4 linked regions of the Arabidopsis thaliana genome follow. The protein of the gene in region 4 interacts with the protein of the main gene of each other region in a pairwise test. Each region holds a gene or a part of one and is shown on either strand. Other genes may lie near its edges. The genes, in order: CHC1, KNAT3, BLH4 and RGL2.

The links.
Region 1: the proteins of RGL2 (region 4) and CHC1 interact in binary tests that used the Arabidopsis thaliana proteins (3 or more experiments, as listed by UniProt).
Region 2: the proteins of RGL2 (region 4) and KNAT3 interact in binary tests that used the Arabidopsis thaliana proteins (3 or more experiments, as listed by UniProt).
Region 3: the proteins of RGL2 (region 4) and BLH4 interact in binary tests that used the Arabidopsis thaliana proteins (3 or more experiments, as listed by UniProt).

Annotation. Positions count from the first base shown.
Region 1 is NC_003076.8:4,567,961-4,572,998, forward strand, and holds CHC1 (SWIB/MDM2 domain superfamily protein), read right to left. Parts: upstream 3,035-5,038; 5' UTR 2,914-3,034; intron 2,505-2,913; 5' UTR 2,485-2,504; coding exon 953-2,484; intron 809-952; coding exon 736-808; 3' UTR 520-735; downstream 1-519. Other genes in the region: AT5G14160 (F-box family protein), read left to right, coding at 1-507; MPL1 (Myzus persicae-induced lipase 1), read right to left, coding at 3,482-3,804, 3,878-3,973, 4,060-4,139, 4,226-4,266, 4,363-4,506, 4,610-4,720, 4,818-4,958. UniProt on the Arabidopsis thaliana protein: Involved in transcriptional activation and repression of select genes by chromatin remodeling (alteration of DNA-nucleosome topology).
Region 2 is NC_003076.8:8,734,107-8,739,143, forward strand, and holds KNAT3 (homeobox protein knotted-1-like 3), read left to right. Parts: upstream 1-1,837; 5' UTR 1,838-2,101; coding exon 2,102-2,782; intron 2,783-3,057; coding exon 3,058-3,178; intron 3,179-3,266; coding exon 3,267-3,451; intron 3,452-3,528; coding exon 3,529-3,660; intron 3,661-3,738; coding exon 3,739-3,875; intron 3,876-3,969; coding exon 3,970-4,009; 3' UTR 4,010-4,495; downstream 4,496-5,037.
Region 3 is NC_003071.7:10,107,203-10,114,875, forward strand, and holds BLH4 (BEL1-like homeodomain 4), read right to left. Parts: upstream 5,804-7,673; 5' UTR 5,684-5,803; exon of another isoform or gene 5,577-5,683; 5' UTR 5,535-5,576; coding exon 4,578-5,534; intron 3,811-4,577; coding exon 3,419-3,810; intron 2,417-3,418; coding exon 2,200-2,416; intron 1,223-2,199; coding exon 749-1,222; 3' UTR 507-748; downstream 1-506. UniProt on the Arabidopsis thaliana protein: Transcription factor that establishes leaf shape by repressing growth in specific subdomains of the leaf. Negatively regulates knox homeobox gene KNAT1/BP expression.
Region 4 is NC_003074.8:818,797-823,555, forward strand, and holds RGL2 (RGA-like 2), read right to left. Parts: upstream 2,857-4,759; 5' UTR 2,484-2,856; coding exon 840-2,483; 3' UTR 541-839; downstream 1-540. Other genes in the region: AT3G03460 (mediator of RNA polymerase II transcription subunit-like protein), read right to left, coding at 4,273-4,759.

The sequences.
Region 1 (5,038 bases), on a different chromosome or scaffold from region 4:
CACAAACTTTACATTTACTATGAGGATGGTAGCATCGGAATCTCGGATTTGAAGTTTGTAACAAAAACTGCTCATGTTCAGCTCTATCCCTTTCGCTTCCGCTTGGGATCTTTTAGCCCTTATGATACAATTTGGACAGACTATCTTGACTGGAAGACCAACATAGTAATCACCATCTCTGGAGATTTTTTGATGGTTGGCTGCGTTCTTAAACGTCGTGACCTTTCCTGGCTTTTTCGTGGCGACCAGGCCGTGATCTTGGATCTAGGTATCACCGTGCAAGCATCCTCCGATATCCAAGGTATTACCAGAAACTCCACCTATTTCAGCGGTCTTCCATCTAGCCAAAAGGATGTCTTCGTCTTCAATCTCTCCTCCCAGAAGGTTCAACGCCTTTCGTCTTCTTCTATCTCCTCCAGACCATTCTCTAATGCTCGCTGGCTCTTCCCCACTTCTTACTTCACAATGATACTCTTTCCAAACATTTTCGTTTTTGTTCAACTTTAAGTGTTTTTTTTTTTTAATAATGCCAATGTTATTTTCCTTTTGCTAATAAAAACATGACTTAACCATTAACGCAAAGGCTACAAAACAAAGCTAATTATATAAAGTAGTAATGTTTCAACATACACAAGATTACAGATACACTAGTTCACTTTTAAACCAGACTAATCTCAACAATATCTTCTACTAAAAATGCTCAAACAGATGAAGAGACTTGTATCGTCAAGAAACTCACCAACTCCCTGGCCCATCGTTCCCAGCTGCTGGCCTCCGGTTCAAGTAACGTATAACTGCATCTTCGACCCTGCAAACATTTTACCCCAAATTATGATTCAGAAACATTTTACAACTCTTTGACCAAAAAAAAAAAAAAACATTTTACAACTCTTAATACATATCATCTGTGCGAATAAAGGCCAGAGTAGCAGAGTCTAGATGATTAGCTTACCAAGGTTGGTTGAAGAAGTCTGATCGACGTTCTCTCTCAGCATTTCGACTGGCTTCTCCCGCAACGACCTTTAGATCCTTGCTCTGAGATTCGATCAGGGCGTTTATGAATTCAACTGGCGATTGGCTGAACCCCAAGAAAAATGCCCGCCTCCTCCTATGCTCATGGATTTTCCTTATGGCTGCACATATTGCTTCATCACAAGCCTCAATCTCTTTGTTCTTCTCTGCGTTGGCTAGCAAATTGTTCAGATCTCTTTGGATCGGGAAGGGTACATCCACTAGCACATCGTAACATGCTGATACGGCCGGATTATTTCCTGAGAGCTTGATTTTGTGTTCTAAGTGAATAGGTGGTGGAGGCGACAAGTGATGAGATATTTTCTGAGAGACCATAGTGAATTTCAACTTTTCTTCTCCAAAAACTTTCTGAAGTGCAGCATCACAGTTGAAGAAAGAGGGGTCATTTGGGTTCTGCAGTTTCCTCGCCTTAACGTAATGCCAAATTGCAGCGATGATTCTTGGGCGGGTTTCAACCTCAATCCCGAGAACATCCATCAATGCAGTAGAAAGCTTGAACTTTTCAGGGACGTAGTTCATCTCCAACCGTATACTAGCAGCAAACTCCTGATTCCCTTTCCTCTTTATCTCAAAGCCTTCCTGAGGAGCAGGTGATCGAGCATTCTCCCATATGATCAATGGGTTCTCAGGATACAGCCTCTGATCCAGGGAAACTGTAACCCTTTTGAAGAAAGACGAGAATTTGGGATGCAATGGGTTTGCTTTCTGAACAAACCCTGGCTGGTCGGGATCCACCCCATCTTCCAGTATCCTACCAATAATTTTAAGAGTCCATGTTGGCGGGTCAGCATTAGGATTCCCAGGGATCGTGTTGTTTTGGTTAGCAAACGAGTTGAAAACGTAGATCCTAAGAGTCTTCTGTATGCAGGGAGGGTTTTTAAGGGCTTCCTGGATGTCAACTTTCTTTCTAGTTAACGCAGCATCAACCCGAGACTCAAACTCCAGAAGTTGTGTGTATAAGGCAGACTCTGGCAAGATTGCAGCCACCCGCTCCTGCAATGACTTTTCTGGAAGCTTTTGTTTCTTTTTCCGAGCAGCAGGAGTTAACTCCATTGTTCTCATTGGGGAGATAGTGTTGTTACTCGCAGGAGCACCAGGAGGTCGCATCGGCGGTTTCTGCTGGAATCTCTTCATGTTTAAACTTCCAGGAGTCGTCAAAGAAGGAGAAGAAGGACCCAAGCCACCAATCCCCGGAGAACCTTGTGCTTGGTTCATCGTCATGCCTTGAGCTTGTAACTGAGCTTGCAGTTGTGCTTGAACTTTAGACTGTGCTTGAGCATGGGCTAGGGCCTGAGCTTGAGAGAACTGAAACTGAGCTTGAAAGTTAGCTGCCATATGAGACTGAGCAAAACCTTGGTTTCCAGGAACAGATGCAGAGGCCATCCCAGGATTCCCAAAAGGCAAAGGCGCAGAGCCTTGAGGCTTTTGTGGATTGTTGTTGTTACCAGACATTGCTATATAAACCTATCAGCCTGAAAAATTCAGAAACAAAAAATAACACTCTTGAAAAATAAACTTCAATTACACCTAACGTATCGTAAGCTTATCAGAAATCTAAGACATATATGCAGAAATTCAGATGAATGCAATAGATCGGTTACCTAGAGAAATCGAAACCTCAAAACCCTAATTTTCTAAGATTGCTGCAGAGTTCAACTAAATAGGAGTAATACCCAGGCTTAAAAACAACGTCGAAGAGAAAATGACTGAAAATGCGAATGAAGAACTCGATTGGAGAATTTTTGAAATATACTACTAAGTGGCCATAGAAAGATCTGGAATTTACAAAATCCTAAGAGATACAAAAAACAGAAAACCCAGAGCCTATACACCATAAAGATCGAGAATTCCTTAAAAAAACGAAGATTCGCAGCTTGGTACCTGCTTTTTTGATTCACCTTCTTTCCGGGATTCACCGGTGTTCCGTTGCTTCTCAGTTGTCGAGACTCGAGAGAGAAAACAAAAACAAATGCCCACCGGAGCTATCTATTTTACTGTCCGGGTTAAGACCCGACCCGTATTTTTAAAGCCCACATTGAGTTATATCAAACTGGCCCAACTTTAATCCATGTGTTTTTTTTTCAACGACAAATCCACATACAATTTGACGACAAAATTAAAAAGAAAAGCATTCCACATAATTTTGTTTTACTATAGTTTTTCGTTTCCTTTTTTTTTTTTTGTCAAATACGAATCTGTAGTTTTAGTGTTCTTTCTTAAATATACCTAAAACTAGGGTAAATTAGATAATGGTTGCCCCATTGTTTATAGATTAAAGAAAAAAAAAATCTAAATTAAATATTGGGATTATTTTAATTAGAAGCTAGTAGACTGGTATACTTTTTCATAAAAATTTTAATTTTATTTTTGCCCATTTTGTTTAGAGGGAAACAATTGAAGAATATGGGCACATGCAATTACATAAACTAATGACAAGGTAATAATATTATCAAGCTTGTCGTTTGAAAAAGGTAGCAACTTGGTTATAAACAACGTCTTTGGCAGTAACACCCATGATGAAATCAGCATGAGCATAGTCTTTCACAAACTGCACATTCATCTTATCGATGTCGTGATACTTAAACTGGTCAAGGAGAAACTCAACGTCTTTCACATCAGCCAGGCTATCTAAACCACCGTAGCTGAAAAAAAGCGGAAGCTCGTGTGGGATCGCCGATATGTTGTATGCCGGTGGTATCGCTTGACCGTAATGTTTTATGTTGCGATCACTGCTTCCATAGTTGTATTTTCTCAACTCCTTGTCTCTTACCGCTACAAATAAATAATTTGAACAATTTAAGGTTTATAAAATAATTTTTAAAAAATGGGAATTTGTTTCACTTACTTTGAGCAAGGTGGATCATGTTCTTGGTGGAAGTAGATTGAGGTTCGTTGGCAAGGAACAGATCAATGGTTGATGCGTTAAGGCAGCAATTCTTTCCTATGTTTTTGTAAAATTACGTTAATTAATATATGTAATTAATTCATCAATGGTAGATTGGTGGACTTTTTTAGTTGTAGCGTTACCAGTGATAACAGAGACTAAATCATAACAGTCGATCCCCGCTTTAAGGCATATAGCCTTTATAAAATCCCCTACTAATCCACTGCAAATGTTGTTTTAACTATTTTACGTAATCAAATCAAGCCAATAATAACAAGCATATTTTAAGAAAAAAGGGTGAAGATTTACCTTTTCGGGTTAAACTCTGGCCATCCAAGAATAGAGGTGGCCTATTTTTGAAAGACGATAAACAAGTTATTTTCATAACTGTAGGCACATATTTGTATAAGAATAAAAAAGGGTATTACAAGGGAGAAGCTAGGGACCTCGGCGAGGAAGGTTTTTGCGGCGATATCGCCGATGACGGTGGTCATGTGGCTGAGATAAGCAACGGGACTCAACATCGCCGCCGATCTCACTTGATCCACCAACCCTTTTTCTGAGAACGAAGCAAATCCTATTAACGTCCCCTGACAATTTCCATTTCATTTTTCATTCTATTATGAGAAGATATATTACTATAAGAAAAAGAAAAAAATCAGAGAAAAAATATGTTGATAACGTTGGACCCACCAAAGAGTGTCCGAGGTAGTGAATCTTTTGGCCTGTTAGGCCATGGATATGGTCAAACATAGCAGGCAGATCGTAACTCACAAGCTCGTCCCACGTCCAGTTCCAGAAAGCCTAAGTCCACAACGTGCCAACGATGTTAAATATCAGTTTCCTTAGTAAAGATATATACGTAATCTACTGGTTAAAACAGTGGTTCACTGAACCAGACCCGTTGAGAAGGGTTAAGGTACTTGTGTCTTCTGCTGAATCTAGTCCCTCTTGTGTTCCCCATCCACACATCGAATCCTTGATCCGCCAAAATCAACGGCAGATTTTGATCCGCTGGATTCAACAGCCATGACATCCCATCCTGCACATTTAACTCATGATTATTTGACTATCATAGTAATGTAAACTATAAGAAATTAAAGGACCATGTTGTCAAAGAGA
Region 2 (5,037 bases), on a different chromosome or scaffold from region 4:
CCAACCGCCATAACCATTCAAATCCTAAATAAAAACGGTTTTGATAATATAAGAACCAGCCCAAAGATGAAGTTATATATGTGACTATGTTAACACACATTTATAGTATGAGTTAACCTAGACCTATTTGCGTCTCACTTCTTATTAAATGCTAAAAATTTACCAAAAGGACGCTATTCATCACAATTAAGTTTAAATCTCTAAATTAATTGATCGTTTAAGTTTTTAACCAAACTCAAATAAATAAAAAAATATACGATAACTTTTATTGTGACGATCGAATATACTACCATCAAATTTTATACCAAATTTCTGTTTCGTAGCATGTACGAAAATTTTCACTCCAAAAAAAATCTAAAAATTATATTTACCAAAAACTGTGATTTCAGAAAATTATGTGATTTTAAAGAACCAGTGATTTCTCAAATTATATTATATGAAATGATTATTATTATTTTAAAAAGGTGAAAGGGTGAAGCAAAAAAATAGTGTGCATAAACAAATAAGCTAATTTGTTTTCTGGTACTTAGGTCTTTTAAATCCATATAAATAAATTCTTAAAAGATTGTTTTATTTCAAATCTTTAACCTAAAATTGTAACTTTAAATTCATGATTAAATTTTTTGTTTTCAATAATTTCTCGTAACTTCATTACATAAAACGAGAAGGATTTATAATAGGTAAAGGCGTGAAGCAAAAAATAATTGTATAAATAAATAAGTTAAATTTGTTTCATAGTGCCATAAAATTACACTAACATCTGAACGTGAAACGCACGCGCTTCTTCATATCATAGATACGTTGCGTCTTAAAACACAACACGTAGCAACTCTTTTTAAAAAGGAAAAATACATTTATTATTCCCAACAATAAAAAAAATCAAACACAGTCGAAGAAGGCAACGACCTTTCGCAGCCGTCAGATCTTAATAAATACAGTCGCCACTAAAATTTAACGACATAGATCGAACCATGACGACCTACTTTCTTTAATTAATTTTCTGTCGTGACCTAATCTTCTATTTGTTGTTTCATTAGTCACTTACTTTTATATTTATTCTTTCTTAGGTCTATGTGGACCAAAGTGATTGGAAAAGAAAAAAAAATACATTTTTGTCAACCATAACTAAATTATCTTATTTTCTCAAATGCACTGTTTATTATGTAGCGTACTGATTTATTAAATACTTTTGCTTTCTATGGTTAATTTATGATGTCGGATTTTTATCTTTCCCCCAATAATAATATCACTATAGAAGAAAGTTTACAAATTCTTAGTTAAATCAAAAAAGATTTTATCAGTTGATTTGATTATACGAGGTGACATCAATTTTTGTCTTCTTTAACAAAAAAAATCAATTTTTGTTTTCTTTAACAAAAAAAATCAATTTTTGTCTTACTTTTTAATTAGCATTTAGAAAAATATTTAACAAATAAAAGTTCTCATAAGCGATTTTTAAAAAAATGTTTTGTTTTTACTATCTTTCAGTTTTTTTTTTTAAATTAATTTTCTAAAAAAACACATATATTAAAAAACATATTAAAACTAATTATAAACATATTATCTTTTGTGATTTATATTTTTTTATAATTCTAAACCAATGATATTCAATTATTTATCTTAAAATTAAAAATTTATCAATAATAACTAATAAATAATGTATAGAAAATTTAAAAATTATTTTTTTTAAAACAATTTTTTTCCTCTAAAAAATTAAATAATAAGGAATAGAGAAGGAATATTTTTTTATCTAATAAATTCCATATAATAATTCAATTATATTGATAAATAGGTTGCAAAAAATAAGAAAGAATAAATATGAGAATAAATGGTCATCTCTCGATCTCTCAGCTCTGTGCAACTCTGAACACACCCACACATATATACTCAGATACATACATACACACCACAAAAACCAATTATTTTCCAATTTTAAGAAAAGTTTCTGTGTCTTTTTTTTTTTTTTTGGTGATAATTGAAACATATGAAACAATCGTCGTCATAGAAGCAGCAGAGATTCACCTTCTTTCTTTATCTTTCCCTCTCAGAAACAGGAAACAAAATTCAAAAAGAACAAAAAAAAAAAGGTCAAACCAAAACGATGGCGTTTCATCACAATCATCTCTCACAAGACCTCTCCTTCAATCATTTCACCGACCAACACCAACCTCCACCTCCGCAACCGCCTCCTCCTCCTCCGCAACAGCAACAACATTTCCAAGAAGCACCGCCTCCTAATTGGTTAAACACAGCGCTTCTTCGTTCCTCAGATAACAACAATAACTTCCTCAACCTCCACACAGCCACCGCTAACACCACAACCGCAAGCAGCTCCGATTCTCCTTCCTCCGCCGCCGCCGCCGCCGCTGCTAACCAGTGGCTATCTCGCTCCTCCTCTTTCCTCCAACGAAACAACAACAACAACGCTTCCATAGTCGGAGATGGGATCGATGATGTCACCGGAGGAGCAGACACTATGATTCAGGGAGAGATGAAAACCGGCGGTGGAGAAAACAAAAACGACGGCGGAGGAGCTACGGCGGCGGATGGAGTAGTGAGCTGGCAGAATGCGAGACACAAGGCGGAGATCCTTTCGCATCCTCTTTACGAGCAGCTTTTGTCGGCGCACGTTGCTTGTTTGAGAATCGCGACTCCGGTTGATCAGCTTCCGAGAATCGATGCTCAGCTTGCTCAGTCTCAACACGTCGTCGCTAAATACTCAGCTTTAGGCGCCGCCGCTCAAGGTCTCGTCGGCGACGATAAAGAACTTGACCAGTTCATGGTATATAAATTTCAGATTTTTTTGTTCTATAATTTTATAATTAACGATTTCATAATTATACTTAGCACAAATTTTAATAATACACACCGACTTAGGTTTCTTGATTTTTGAAATCTTAAAATATTAAAATCAAGATTTGTGTTTTTAGGGATAAACAAGACTAAAATCCCAAAAAAAGAGCTTATGATATAATAATGGTCATGATGATGAAGAAAATACAAATTTTGTTCTTTGTGTTTATTGTGTGTTTGATTAATGTTTTTTTTATGGTGTAGACACATTATGTGTTGCTACTGTGTTCATTTAAAGAGCAATTGCAACAACATGTGCGTGTTCATGCAATGGAAGCTGTGATGGCTTGTTGGGAGATTGAGCAGTCTCTTCAAAGCTTAACAGGTGAGAAAATGAATCCTGTGATTAGCTCATGAATCCAATAGTTAGTTTTATGACATTGACAAGTTTTGTGTTTTATTGGTGAGATTAGGAGTGTCTCCTGGAGAAGGGATGGGAGCAACAATGTCTGACGATGAAGATGAACAAGTAGAGAGTGATGCTAATATGTTCGATGGGGGATTAGATGTGTTGGGTTTTGGTCCTTTGATTCCTACTGAGAGTGAGAGGTCGTTGATGGAAAGAGTTAGACAAGAACTTAAACATGAACTCAAACAGGTAATAATCAACAAACTTGTTCTTTGAACTAGTTCATGAACTAACAATGTAGAGGGCTTTGTCTTGTTGATGAAAAGGGTTACAAGGAGAAGATAGTAGACATAAGAGAGGAGATATTAAGGAAGAGAAGAGCTGGGAAGTTACCAGGAGATACCACCTCTGTTCTCAAAGCTTGGTGGCAATCTCATTCCAAATGGCCTTACCCTACTGTGAGTTCACTCATCTAACATCTCTTTATAACTTCTTCAAGTTCATTCATTGAGCCATAACCAAATATTGGTTTGTAGGAGGAAGATAAGGCGAGGTTGGTGCAAGAGACAGGTTTGCAGCTAAAACAGATAAACAATTGGTTCATCAATCAGAGAAAGAGGAACTGGCATAGCAATCCATCTTCTTCCACTGTATTGAAGAACAAACGCAAAAGGTATTATTATACTTTAATATAGTCTTGTAACATAACCGAAAAACTTATGGATCGGACTCAAAGAAGACTGAAACTTTTGTTTGTCTGATGAAAGCAATGCAGGTGACAATAGCGGAAGAGAGCGGTTCGCGTAGAAACAACAAACATATGATGTGAATTGGGGAGGTGGAAGATGGGATTTGAAAGCAGGGTTTTAGGGATTTAAAGTTGAGAATTTTATGGAGGAGTTTGGATTATACAGAGAGAGGGGACAGTATTAGAAAGTAACTTTTTGTGCAATTACATAGTAACGTAGTTTGGTTATGTGATTATGCCCATATATTTTATTAAGTAGCACACAAACCAAAAAGAAAATATGAAAACTGAAGATGCAGGCTTTTGTTTAATGTTTTTTGTTTGTTTGTCTGCATGAGTTTTTTTTTTATGAACCATCAGATAATCATCATCATCATCCATAATATATCTTGTGAATAAAGATAGTGAGAGAGGAGAACATTGGGATGCACAAGTTTTCTTAATCTACTAGTATATGTTACGCATTGACCAGGTGCATATGTTAATTTGTATCGCACCACTTGGTTAGCTTAATCTATGTGACTATTATACAGTATATGTTTCGCATTAACCGTACTTAACCCATCTTATGATTCTTATCCGCTTAGTTCGTAGTATTTATTGCGATGTCACATTCCAACTCGTGATATTGGCTTGATAAGTAAAAGACATTATACATGGTAGATGACGACAAAAAATAAAACATACCCCATCTTACATAACGTAGCTTGCTGCGTACTTTTGTAATTGTAATAATTTGAAACGTGTTCTTTTTTCTAGTCAAAATTGTTTGTTTATCCTCATCTTGTTGTTTCGTTTGTCACGTTTGTGATAGCCACAAGTTACTGTAAGTTTTCGGCGAGATTTTTCTATCGATCACGGAGAGATTCTGCACACATTAACAAAGATAATTAGAGTGTCCTTAAGTATTTTGGTCGCCTCTCTATTAGAGGACCATACAAAGTTCAAAGACTAGTCTCATGAGAAGCCCATTAGTACATTAGATTAAATCTAGGAAAGTAGATTCATATAAGTAGTTTTGTAATGAACATCAAAGTTGTTAACTTAGAGAATTGTCATTTGGATTGTATAAATGGTTTGATAAACG
Region 3 (7,673 bases), on a different chromosome or scaffold from region 4:
CTCCGTCTCGATTGACATATCCCCCAATATGACATGTAACCAAACCTTTGGAGTTTTGGATAATTGTTTCTCAGAGAAAAAAACTAAAGAACCTAACTCAAAAGATTATTTGTTTTCTTTTTAAACAAATATGTCACGTTTTTCTTAACTATTTTACTATAAACTGAAGATAATACAATTGTTAATAAGTCGATCGGGTACGTACCAAGTATATTTTGTTGCTATTACTAAATTAAGGAGCACATAGTTGTAGTAAGTAGGGATTAGTTGAGATGATTAATTTGATATTACAAGGAAAGTGATGTGACTTATTGGCGCTTTCCTAAAAGACTGTTGTCGCTTATTAGCAAAAATCAAATGGAAGAATCCAATAAATGCTACACGAAATTTAGTTTCCAGAAAATATATGTACATAATCATAATCTAAAACAAAATTTAGAGTAATTTGGCAGGGGTATTAATATGAACAAAAAATTAGTATGAACAAAACTATACAAAAATGTAAGGATATAAGTTTCATGAATAAAATAAAAATATGTGCATAATTATATATGGAACTTTGGTAGCTAGATCTCACTTGATATATGTATATCTCTCTTCTTCTTACGACAGAAAAGACAGAAAAAAAAACTAAAGAAGAAAGGAAATTTTAAAAGTATGTGAAGAAACTAAAAACATATATCGATAAACCAAAAAAATAAAATTCACTATAATAAATTTTGATGAATAAATTGAGAAACAAAGAAGACTAAAAATCTCCAAAGTCTCTAACGGAGAAAGAAGTGTTCTTATCAGGAATATTGCCAGAGTGGCGTAGACCAAGCGTAAGAGACACGTCACCAGTCTGTTTGGTCCCGAATCTTATGACGTTCACACCATCTCCGTCGACGTGGAAGTCACTGACGTCTTGCTGACACGTGGCGACGGTGAACGCGTCTGAACCGCCGTGAGAAGCGGCGGCGACGGAAGAGAGGAATGAAGAGTCGTTTTCGTGATGTGTCGATGTCATCGTCGTTGGAGTTTGTGCGGTTATGACAGTGAAGTTGTTTTCATTGTTGTTGGGTTTCGTGTCGTTGTTGTTTGTTTGTTGCTGTCTTCTTTGTTGTTGTTGATTTTCATTTTCTTCTTCTGCTTCTTCTCTTTCTTTTGCTTCTTGTTGATACATCTCTTCCACCATTGGTTTCCATAGGCGAACCCTAGCATTTATGAACCAATTTGACACCTGAAAAAACGAGACATATGAACTAATATTAATCACAATTTACTCTTAACAAGTTTATAATATTAAAAGAAACTTAACTTTTAGAAGGAAAAAAAAACTTTTCAATGAAATGTGAAATACTCCTTTTTACATTAAATATGGTTTTGATTGTTTTTGTATATACTTCATTTGTTTTATATTAAGTAAAGTTAAAATAATAAGTCATTTACTGTGAAGAAAATTAGTTTAAACAAATGAAACAAAAAAAATAGGATAGCTAAAACCTTAAGTTAAAATGATAGGAAAGGAGTAAAAATTATGATACATGTGTTTCCTTTGAGACATCTATTAAAAAGAAGATATATATTAAATTTTTCATTATATTCTTACAAGAACAAGATAACTTTTGACATGTTTCAAGTAATTTTGATTTGATGTTAACTTATGTATTTACTGAAAGGCTTAGATGAAATTTCTAAATTAAAAATTTGAAACATAATAATGTTTTTTTATTTGAACACATGAAACATAATAATGTTAAAACAACAATTTGAAGGTTGAAATATACTAATGGATATTTGAAGCCAAGTGTAATAAACTACTTGTGATGTAAATAATTAATGTGTACAAGACTTAGAGGTCTGCTAGTTAACATTGAAATGAAAGCTTCAAACTTTCATGTACTTGAGAAATACTTACATCTCTCTCTCCTATGTTTTATATATCCTTGTGTGTGTAAGTGTAGATAATGTATTTAATGAAGAAAACGAACCCCAAGAAAAACAAATGATTCGTGATATTGAAAATCCATGCAAGAGAATAGACATGAAGCCACTCATGTCAGATTTTGCATGATGAAATGATTGATATATATGGTAAATTGTGAGTTAAGTACATATATGTAAATGAGTAATTAAAAGGGTTCTTGTATGATAAGTATGAAAACATATTATATTAAAAAAATATTGATGTATGTATCTATATAGATAAAGGCTGACCTGATTTCTGGATAAACCAGTCTGTCGTGCTAAGAGGTGCTTATCAGCATCGCTTGGGTACCTGAGAAAGAGACCAGAAAATGACTTCACAATCTTTAGAACCCTAAACCAATAATTTTTTTCTTTTCTCTTTTTTTGAATATAGATAGAGAGGAAAAACACAATCAAGTAGATGCAAGAAAAGGTACAAACTTTCTCCTTACAAGGGCGTGAGAATCTAAGGGACAAAAGAAAAAGCTGATTTCAGAATAGAAGCATTTTATTTTATTTTTGTATCTTAACTTATTTTTCATCATAAAGCAAAATATTTATCTGTACAACTCTTCTCTTCTTTACTTCACTAACAACAAAATAGTAAAATTCTGCAGACATTAAATAGAGAAAGTACTGATGAATAATGACAGAAGAAATTGCTTTTTTCAGCTTTTAGATTTTTTTTTTCCTCTTTTTGATTTCTGTCTTTCTTAAGGGACAATATACCAATGAAACTGTACCACTGACAAATCTGAGACTTATTTTTTTGTAGTTATGTTAATGGCATTGTTACTTCTTTTGATAATAGTATGTGGAATGAATTAAAGCAAATTAAAGAAAAAAAAACTATAAAGGAAAGGTTAGGCAGAGACAGAGAAACCCTTAGGATGCTATTATGATCCCAAAGCATAAAAGTTTGCGATCTCACTCTGCAAACTTCTTTTGTTGCATTAATTATTTAAACCCTTTAATTTGCCATGCAATATAACCTACATTAATATAAATATAAACATACAGTTTTCATGAAAGTCTCCTAGTCAATGAATTGTTACCCTTGTTATTTTGGAGTACTCTTAGCTGACCATTCTTATGGGTGGTATGAAAAGGAAAAAATATTTGATATTTAAATTTTTATTAGTAGTAATAAACATAAAATAATCAAACTCAGTGAAGAAACGGAACTTCATTTTACAAAAATTATTTTGGTTTTCTAAAAAAGCCAGCAGCTTTTAATTTTGATTGAAATAGAAATATATCTTCCCGCATAACAAAAGAGTTATAAAAAAAAAAATTTTTTTGTCACTTTCATAACTTAAGTTTAATAAACGTATATTAGTTAAAGTCTTGGTATCAATGCATTATGGTAGTCTACATTTTATAATGTATAGTCAACATTCAAGAAGATTAGTATTATCGAAGAATAAGAGTAGGTAAGTATTATTAAGGGATTAGAAAATGGACTTACGGATTAAGAAAATGCTCGAATAGCCAAGCTCTAAGGATATTAACGGAGCGTTCAGGCAAACCACGTTGCGGTCTCCATGCCTCTTGCTCCATCATACCCATATGATGAAACGCTCGTTGCTGACGCAAACTCTGCTCTAGCAAACGCAATCGCGGCGTTTCCCCTTTGGTTAACCCCGAGGATGCAGCCCCTGCCGCCTCTTTATCCCCTAGAAGCTCACAGCTGCGTTTAAGCTGAACCGCTACCGCGTCTTTCAAACACCGGAAATGCCTAGACATTGCCTTTTGAGCTAATGTCGTGTACGGAACCGCCGCGCCGTAACCCATTACTTGGTCGAATGAGTTCACTACCATTTGCATTTGTTCGCAGTAGTGGTTGTACCGTCGGTCCACCTACAAATTAAATTTTAAATAAATGAACTATACATAGATGAGTTCTTGTTTTTTTTTTATTAGCTCAATTTCTAAGATAAAATATAAACCTCAAGTGATTAGTTCGTTTAGATACTTCAATGTGTTATCTTCTCTTGCTAACAATTTATGCTATCTTGGAACATATACTAAATTCTTGAAAGAAGATAATGTCAACTACAAAATAAATTGTAAGATAAATAATGAAGTAACTTCAAGGACTAGTTTTGGTTACGTAGTGAAGGTGGCTAGCTTATATGGAGAAGGAAACTCTAATTTAAAATTTATGGTTGTGAAGACTAAATCACTTAATCAATCATATATTAATTTCTTATGTTAAATTTGATTAAGCGATGCCACCAAACGCGTGACACAAAATATGCATTAATATATCAAATTAGACCATATAACACCATATAATGATATTAGTTAGAAAAATTATATAAGTGATAGTAGGATTGCGTAATCAGGCTTTACCAACTAGAGCATGTGTCGTGCTCTTGTACCAGTCGGTCATTCTCTATACATTTATTTTTTTAAGAAAATAACATATATAGAGTTTATGAAAATATTGGTCGATTTAGAATTAATTATATAAGAAGAAAAAAATCACGAAGAAAAATAAAATTTTGTAGCGATTGATATGAAATTGGTTGTTTGATCAATTCAATCATTAGAACGGTTCATTAAAAGTTTGATAGAAAATTAATTAGTTTGGTTAGAGAAAAAATATTGAGTGAAAACGTTACCTCTTCAAGCATAGATAGTAGCTTGACTTTTCTTCTTTGATGTTCAATCCGATCAGCCGGAGACAAAGGAGGACTATCATTAGCTGTTCCGGCCGATGACGAGGACCCTCCGCCTCCTCCTCCACCGGTAGTATTAGGGTTTGAGTTGTTCCTACTAAGTTTGTTCTTCTTGAAATGTCCTCTTCCAACACTACAAAACTCTTCCAACAACTCTTGAGCCGGTTTCGTATATTTCGAATTCCTCAACGTGTAGATCCCTCCAATGGATGAAGAAGCCGCCATGGGAGATGATGATGATGAACCAAAATGTCCAACAACTTGATGGTGATGATGTTGAGAAGAAGAATTCTCAAGAAGAAGATTCTTGAACTGATTGAATTGATGATGATGAGCGGATGCGTTAGAAGAAGAAGAAGTTCCATCAACGGCTGCACAATAAATGCTTCTATATTCCTCGGCTTTAGCTGCGGCTAATGAAGATGAGAGAGATAAAGACAAACCCTTTCCTCCTTCCACGTGGACGGTTCCGATCATATCTCGGTTTTGATGATGATCGGAGGAGGAAGATGGCCATGTAAAGTGTTGTTGTTGCTGCGGCTGCATAGTGTTTTCGTCGGTGAAAGCAAAACCTTGATGATGATTTGGTAATAACATATGAAGAGTTGAGTTATTGTTGTTGTTGTGACGGTTTTGTTGCTCTAGCAACTGTTTAGTAGACTGATCAAGAATCTCTCCACCGGAACCGCCGCCACCTCCGCCAGGGTAAGCAAACATTTCAGACAACATTCCGGCGGTTTCATAAACCGGAATTTGAGCACCGGAGACGACGGCGGATTCATCTACTTCCTCTTGATGAGTGGTTGATGATGATCGGTGGAATCCATTAGAGAAGGAAAAGATTCCTTGGTGATGATGATAATCTTGTGACATAGAAGAAGTTGTAGTAGCTAAACCCATATCTTGTTATTCATTATATCTTTTTTCCAAAGCTCTTGGATCCTGTAAGGATTCAGACATACACAGAGAATCTTATATAACACATACAAAAAAAAAATACAAGAAAAAGAAAGAGAGAGAGAGAGAGAGGAGTCAACTAGGTATTATACAGTTTTTCTCCAATCTCTTTCTTGTAACTCTTTTAAGGTTCTCACTTTCAGCTTCGGTCATCATCTACATATATGGTATAGAGAGAGAGAGAGAGAGAGAGAGGAAGTACCTTGGAGTTGCAGAGAATTAAAGAAATGATTGATGATGAGCTTATAGCTATCGTTTTCTTCTATACCTCTCTCTCTAGCTTTCTTTTTCTTGAGTACTCTTTTTATTTTATATTTCTCTGTTAGTGAGAGTTTTTATTCAGCAAATTCTGCAAAACCAAAAACTTATAAAAAAATCTCTCCCAAAGAGAAAGGAAGAGAGAGGGAAGAGAGAAGAAGAGGTCGCTGTTCTTTCTTCATCGCCTCCCTTTTTAACCCACCAATCTTCTTTAATATTTTTTTGTTATTAAAATCTTGATTTATCATTTTTTTATAATGAAGTATTTTTATAAACATCTTCTTTTTAATTTTAATCGGCAAAGGTTTCTTCATATCAATAACGATGAGGAGGAAAGACAAAAAAAAACTATACACATCCTGAAATTACGAAATTATCCTTGTTTTTTTTTCTTGTCTTTTTTTTTTGTCAACGTTATTATTTATTTATAAGAGAAAAAAAAACTTTTTATCACGGAAATGTCGGCTGATATCAACATTTTAAAGGAGTTAATTTGGAAACTAATTTATGAAAGCAAACTAAAAAGAATAGGAAGATAAGGTGAGTCCAAAGGTCATATCTCAATGAACCAAACCACCACCATAAATACTTCCACATATTTTTGTGCTTCAATATATTCTTATTTCGAGCCAAAATAAAATAAAATAAAATATTCTTATTTGACAAATTAAATACTTATATAATATTCCTATGATGCTCTCTAATTTTATTCTTTAATATTGTGTGTATTTGTTGTTTAGGGGAGACCTATGTCATTTTAGACTACTTTTTCATGTATGTACATTTATTCAATTAACTAATCATACGATATATCAAAAATCGATCAAATTATAATATGAAACAAATGAAATACATAAAAATCGATCAAATTATAATTACATTTTGGTAACATATGTGGCTAAATCAATTATTTTAAATTTCTTTGCAGAAACCGCTATATTACATCTATCATCACGAAATCGTAAAAAAAAAAGCATTAGAGATTACCTCAAGCTTGATATGATAAAGCAAAAATCTAGCTGCAAATCGAGGTTGTTTCATTTTGTGTTAATTGATTAGGAAATATCTCATTCTGTGTTAAACGATACTCTCAACTTTCAAAATATTATTTTATATCTATATTAATTAATAAAACTTTATCACTCAAAGATTATTGAAATTTTTTTAAAATTGCTTTTTAGATTACCCATTTTAAAAAATATCCCTTTAACAATAATATTTTTAAAAATACCATTGTTTTAAAAAAAACCTTGATGTTATGACAACATGCCTGATGACTAAACCTCCAAATCATCTTTACAAAATATTTACTAAAATCCAAAGATTAATCCTCTGCACGATTTCACGGTCGGCCGATAGCCTTTCACCATCATCGATGTTTGTAATATGTAAACCATCCACACACAACTAATGCATGGAAAAAACGAAATTTTATGGTTCTGTAGTTTCACAACTACACCTTCAGCTATCTCTTTTTCTAAACCTATACTTATAAAATTAATTTCAGCCATACATTATAATGACGTTGTATAGATACAAACACAATTATTTTCTGTTAAAATTAACGTATCATTAGTCATTACATTATCCTAGGTATATTAAATATTAAAAAAAAAAAAATTTCCAAAATCGATTTGACGTGCGTATCCATCCCACAAACAGTTAGAGAGACATGTTGGATATATGCTATGTAGGTTATAAATCCACAATAGGATAAATACTAATGGAAGGCTTGAAAGCAAAAGTGAAAAGCCCACTTGTATATATATCTATGGAGACTTATGTTGGAATCTATCATGCCAGAATCAGATACCAAATCGAAAA
Region 4 (4,759 bases):
TTTACTTTAAAAAAAGGTTTCAATGATATTATTGTGCCATTGGAGTGTTCTATATATAATCCGAACCTATCCGACCAAAATCCCTACGTTAATGTCGTTTTATAATTTCCTTCTTGACTATACGTCTAGATTGAATTCCAGAAAGAATAACTTCATATATGTTTTCAAAACTGAAACCCCCCAAAATTTAGATCCACCAACTCTTAGGTAGAAGACCATTGAATTTGAGGCTTATGATCTCATAAAAGTAGAATAATTTCACCTCGCATATTTTTAAAAGTTGATAACGTACGTCAAAATCAATTTGACATCCATATTACCTCATCAAACCCATAATAAAGAGAGAGAAAAGAACAATCTGTTTCGAAAACAAAAATGTACCAAAATATATTTCGAAGAAAATCTTTTAACAAAGGCTGACATCAGTCCTCGAAACTGAAAGTACATTTTGGATCCGCCTTTTCAGAAACGCTCACGTTCACTTCCCATGTTATCAACGAAACTGTCCAAATTTGAAAAATATATGACACAAAATCATTTAAATAAATTCATATATATTGGATCAAGTAAAAAACATACAGAATCGTTATCCTTCCATTTATTGAAAACTACTTAGCTCGATCTACGATACAAGATTTTTTACTCGTTCTCTTAACTCTCAAAGATACGCACAAGGTCCAAAAAGATAAAGTTGTAAACATTTAGGCAAAAAGGTTAAACACACAAAAACTTCGGGTTAAAAAGTAAAAACATAACTAAAGTTACGGTCTCTTTTCCTAATTTTTTAAAACATTTATTGTTTTTCCCGGTTTCAGGCGAGTCATCTCTACCGCCGCGACTCAGGCGAGTTTCCACGCCGAGGTTGTGATGAGTGGTCGCGTCTGCCACCCTATCATTAAACATCCGTCATTTTCTTCAACTCTGTATCCATCTCCGGTAGCGTAAAGCGATAAAAGCATACTCGCTTGTTTAAACGCGCTAGATCCGAGATGAATCGGGTCAAACCCAGCGGATTTCATCCGAATCCTCCACTGTGCAGCCGTCTCGTGCCGCTCGACCCGATCGGACCCTTCCGCCGCAACAACGTTGAGTATCTGTCTCCCTAAGTACACTTCTGACATAACTCGGTCTTGACTCGGTAAACTATAACTGTCTTCGAGCGAGTCAAACAAGCTCGAGTAGTAATGAAGCGCTTCGTTGAACCTATCGAGGAAGACGATTCCGTTGTGGTTCGCTTCTTGCTCAACCACCGTTACGATACTCGGTTTAATAGCTTTAACCGTATTGAGAAGCTTTTCGATTGAACCGGATCGGGCTAATAACCGGTGGAGCTCAAATACCGAATTAACCACTAAGGTTTCAGATTCGGGTCGGGTTTCGAACATTTCGGGTTCAAGATCCGATAAACTCTCAGCGGCTAAGCCTTTGAATTCGAATTCAACGCCCATGTTCTGAGCGAATTGAGCTAATTTCCAACCTAACTGTTGAAGCGAATCTGAATTCTCCGTCTGCGGTGGTCCGATTCCGGTGAGACGAAACGACGGAGGTCCACCGGGTCGGAGAGCTAAAGCTTGCATTAAAGCAGGCCATTGCATCCCTTGATTAAGCCCTAAATCAATGACGTGAACTCTACGCGCCGTCGTAACAGCTTCTAGAATCGCTTGGTTCGCCGTGAAATGAGCGAACTTCAGGTAAGGGCAAGACTCGTAAAAGTGCATCTCCAAAACCTCTTCGAAAGATGGGTTCACCGCCGCGCAAACGTCCGTCTCCGCCGTGTAATCACGGTAAATACGACGAGCCAAGGCTTGAGCAAAATACGTAGCGACTTTTCCCATAGCTCCAGCTTGAGAACCCGCGAGTGTTCCCACGCGTTTCACCAGCGCGTCAGCTAAGTTGAGATTCTCCTGGTGAATCGCCTCAGCGCACGCCACTAGTGCGTGGACAAGTCTAACTCCGGTCTCCTGAGAGTCAACGAGCACCACGGACCGAGTTGACTCGTCCGACGATTCGCACCACGATCCGAGTCGGATCCTCTTGCTGCTAGCTTCCTCGTCAAAGACTTCCTCTTCCTTTGGAAACGCAGAAAGACCCGGAATTGCTCTGAGATCGTATTCGGATCTATCCACACAACTTCGGGTCGTGTCAAGATCCGAAGAAGCCGGGTTGTTCAGCTCAGAAAGCATGCTCTCGACCCAGTTAGAGAGATCAGATGGGTTATAATGAACAGAGTCGTTTAAGACAGTAGAACCAACATCATCATTAGACAAGACCATCTCAAGTTGTTCAAGCTTCTGTGCTACTTCAGCCATCTCAGAAGATCGAACCTTGTAGCCAAGAACAGCAAGAAGCTCATCATCCATGTTGCTGTTGTTGTTGTCATCATCAGCCTTCTTCTTATCCGCCATTGAAGGACCTTCTCCGGAACGAGAAGCTGGTAGTGGTTTTGGTGGCGGATCCCATGTTTCTCCGTATCCTCTCTTCATCTTTCTTGTTCTTGTGATGGTGAGTTAAGAGACTGATGAAGTTGAAAAAAAAAGAACAAAAGAGAGTTTATAAGAAAGGAGTTTACTTTACTTCATGGGTTGGTAAGGTTTTTATTAATGGGATTTGAAAAAGAAAAAAAAAAGAATTTTGTGGGTCTTTGTTGTGATTTGGTTACAGACAATTTTTGTGGAAAGAAAGGAGATTCTGAGAGGAGCAATATATAAAGCACGAGGGAGTGAGAGAGAGGTCCAATTAGAGAAGTGACTGTGAAGTGTGTTTAAGAGATAAGAATCAGAGCATGCCACTATTGTTTGGCATCTGTTTCTCTCTTTCATTTTTTCCTAACTCCAAGAAATTTACTCCTTTTTTTTTGTAGTAATGGATAATTTTCTTTATAACTGTTTAGTAGAGATTTCTAAATCTGTTTAGTAGTTTTGACCAATGGAACTTTATAACTTTTAGGTTGTAGTGTGCTTTCGTCATATTTGTTGGTAAGATGTTTTTAAGTTGTGAAGTGATTAAAGTGTCTTTTAATGATAGTGTCATAGTCTTATAGACGATCACGACTTAATTGTTCTTAAATGCCATTGAATATTGTCATATTCTCGCTTACGACTTCGTTGTTCTTAAACCCAAACGGCACCAAATGCGTGTTAAGATAATGGCACTTAAGTGTAGTTTTTTTCCTTATGTTGGATAATGTTTATTTTTTCACTAAATAATTGACATTTGATAATCAACTCTTTTCTAATGACAACTGAAAATATTGAATTATACAAATTTGATTTTCTCATATCTTGGTAGAAAGTATATAATCTTTTCCTCAGTCGAAAGTGTATAATCATGAAGCAAGAATCCTAAGTTGTTAGTGTTTGGATAAAAATACAAATTTTCAAAGCAAACAATTTTTTGTTACCAGCAGGTTTAATGTCATAGAGTAATCAGTTTTTAGAGATCATATTAAACTGAGACAACATTAGATAACTAATTATTTTATTGGTCCATAAGAAAAGTATAATCAGACACAAATATGATTCAACTATTACTCTCTTTTTTCTTGACCAAGTTCTAACATTCTGGTGATGTGAATTCTTTTTTACCATAATGATAAACAAATATGTTTTTAGCTATGTATTGTTTCACTGAGATAAAACTACAGTCTACAGCTCAAGTATTTGAGGGGGACACATGAGCAACTTCTCATGTGCCACGTAGAGGAAGACATAGCCTACGAGACGTCCACAACATAAGGTTACTTTCATTAATTTATTGCATATATCTTTCAGCAGTTTTACATACACACATCATCATCATGCATAATAATTAAGGTTTTTTCGAATAGTGGTATCGTTTGGAAACCGTAAAAGATCCTTTTGGAATATAAGAAAATAAATTATAGAAAAATGTTGTGGGGATTGTATATAGGTATGGTCCCAATCGCAGCTACAAGAAAATGATATTCGTTGTTGTGTTAGAAGTCACATGGTGCATGCTTTTCCATTTTTAGTCATTTGATGTAACTTGTGTCTAAATTGGCCTGTTTTGCTTTTGTGGTTTACATTATTTGTTACTTTTTATTTAGGATCCCTCTTTTAAAATTCATAAGATGAGAGAATCGAAACTGAAGCGCGTCATGCTCACTCGCCAAAACTAGTCCACCTCAAAGAACACTTCATCATCGTCAATTTATCTTTCACCTTATTCACTACCTTTCAAGATTTAACTACATCACCAAACTACGAGTATTTGGATAACCAAACCAAAAGAAAATCTGAGTCATGGTTTCATTTACCGAATATTCAAATCAAAATCCCCACTTCTTCGCCACTTCTCATGTTCACCATTTTCATTTTCTTCATCATTCAAGAAATCTTCTAATGGTTCCTTCTCTTCCTTCTGGCTATTATTGTTGTTGTTATTGTTCCCCCATCCATTCATCAGCAACATCATCTCATTAGGGTTCATGTTACGCCCCTGTTCTCCATGATTCCCAATCGCATTAGCTCTCAACGGGTTACGAGCCATCATCTCGGCATGAGACTGTTGAGACTCTTCTGCCCTTGCTTGTCCTGCTGCTTGAGCCAAAGCCGCCATTCTTAACCTCGCATCCTGAGCTTTCATCTCCCTATCCAGCTGGATACATGCGTTTCTCTCGTCATTGAGCAAAACTTGTTCCATCATCAGCCTTTCCTCAACTCTGTCTCCATCGCTTCTCTTTTGAATTATCCTGTCGAAAGCTTGGACTTGTCCCTCAAATGTCGCCGTGAATTCTGCA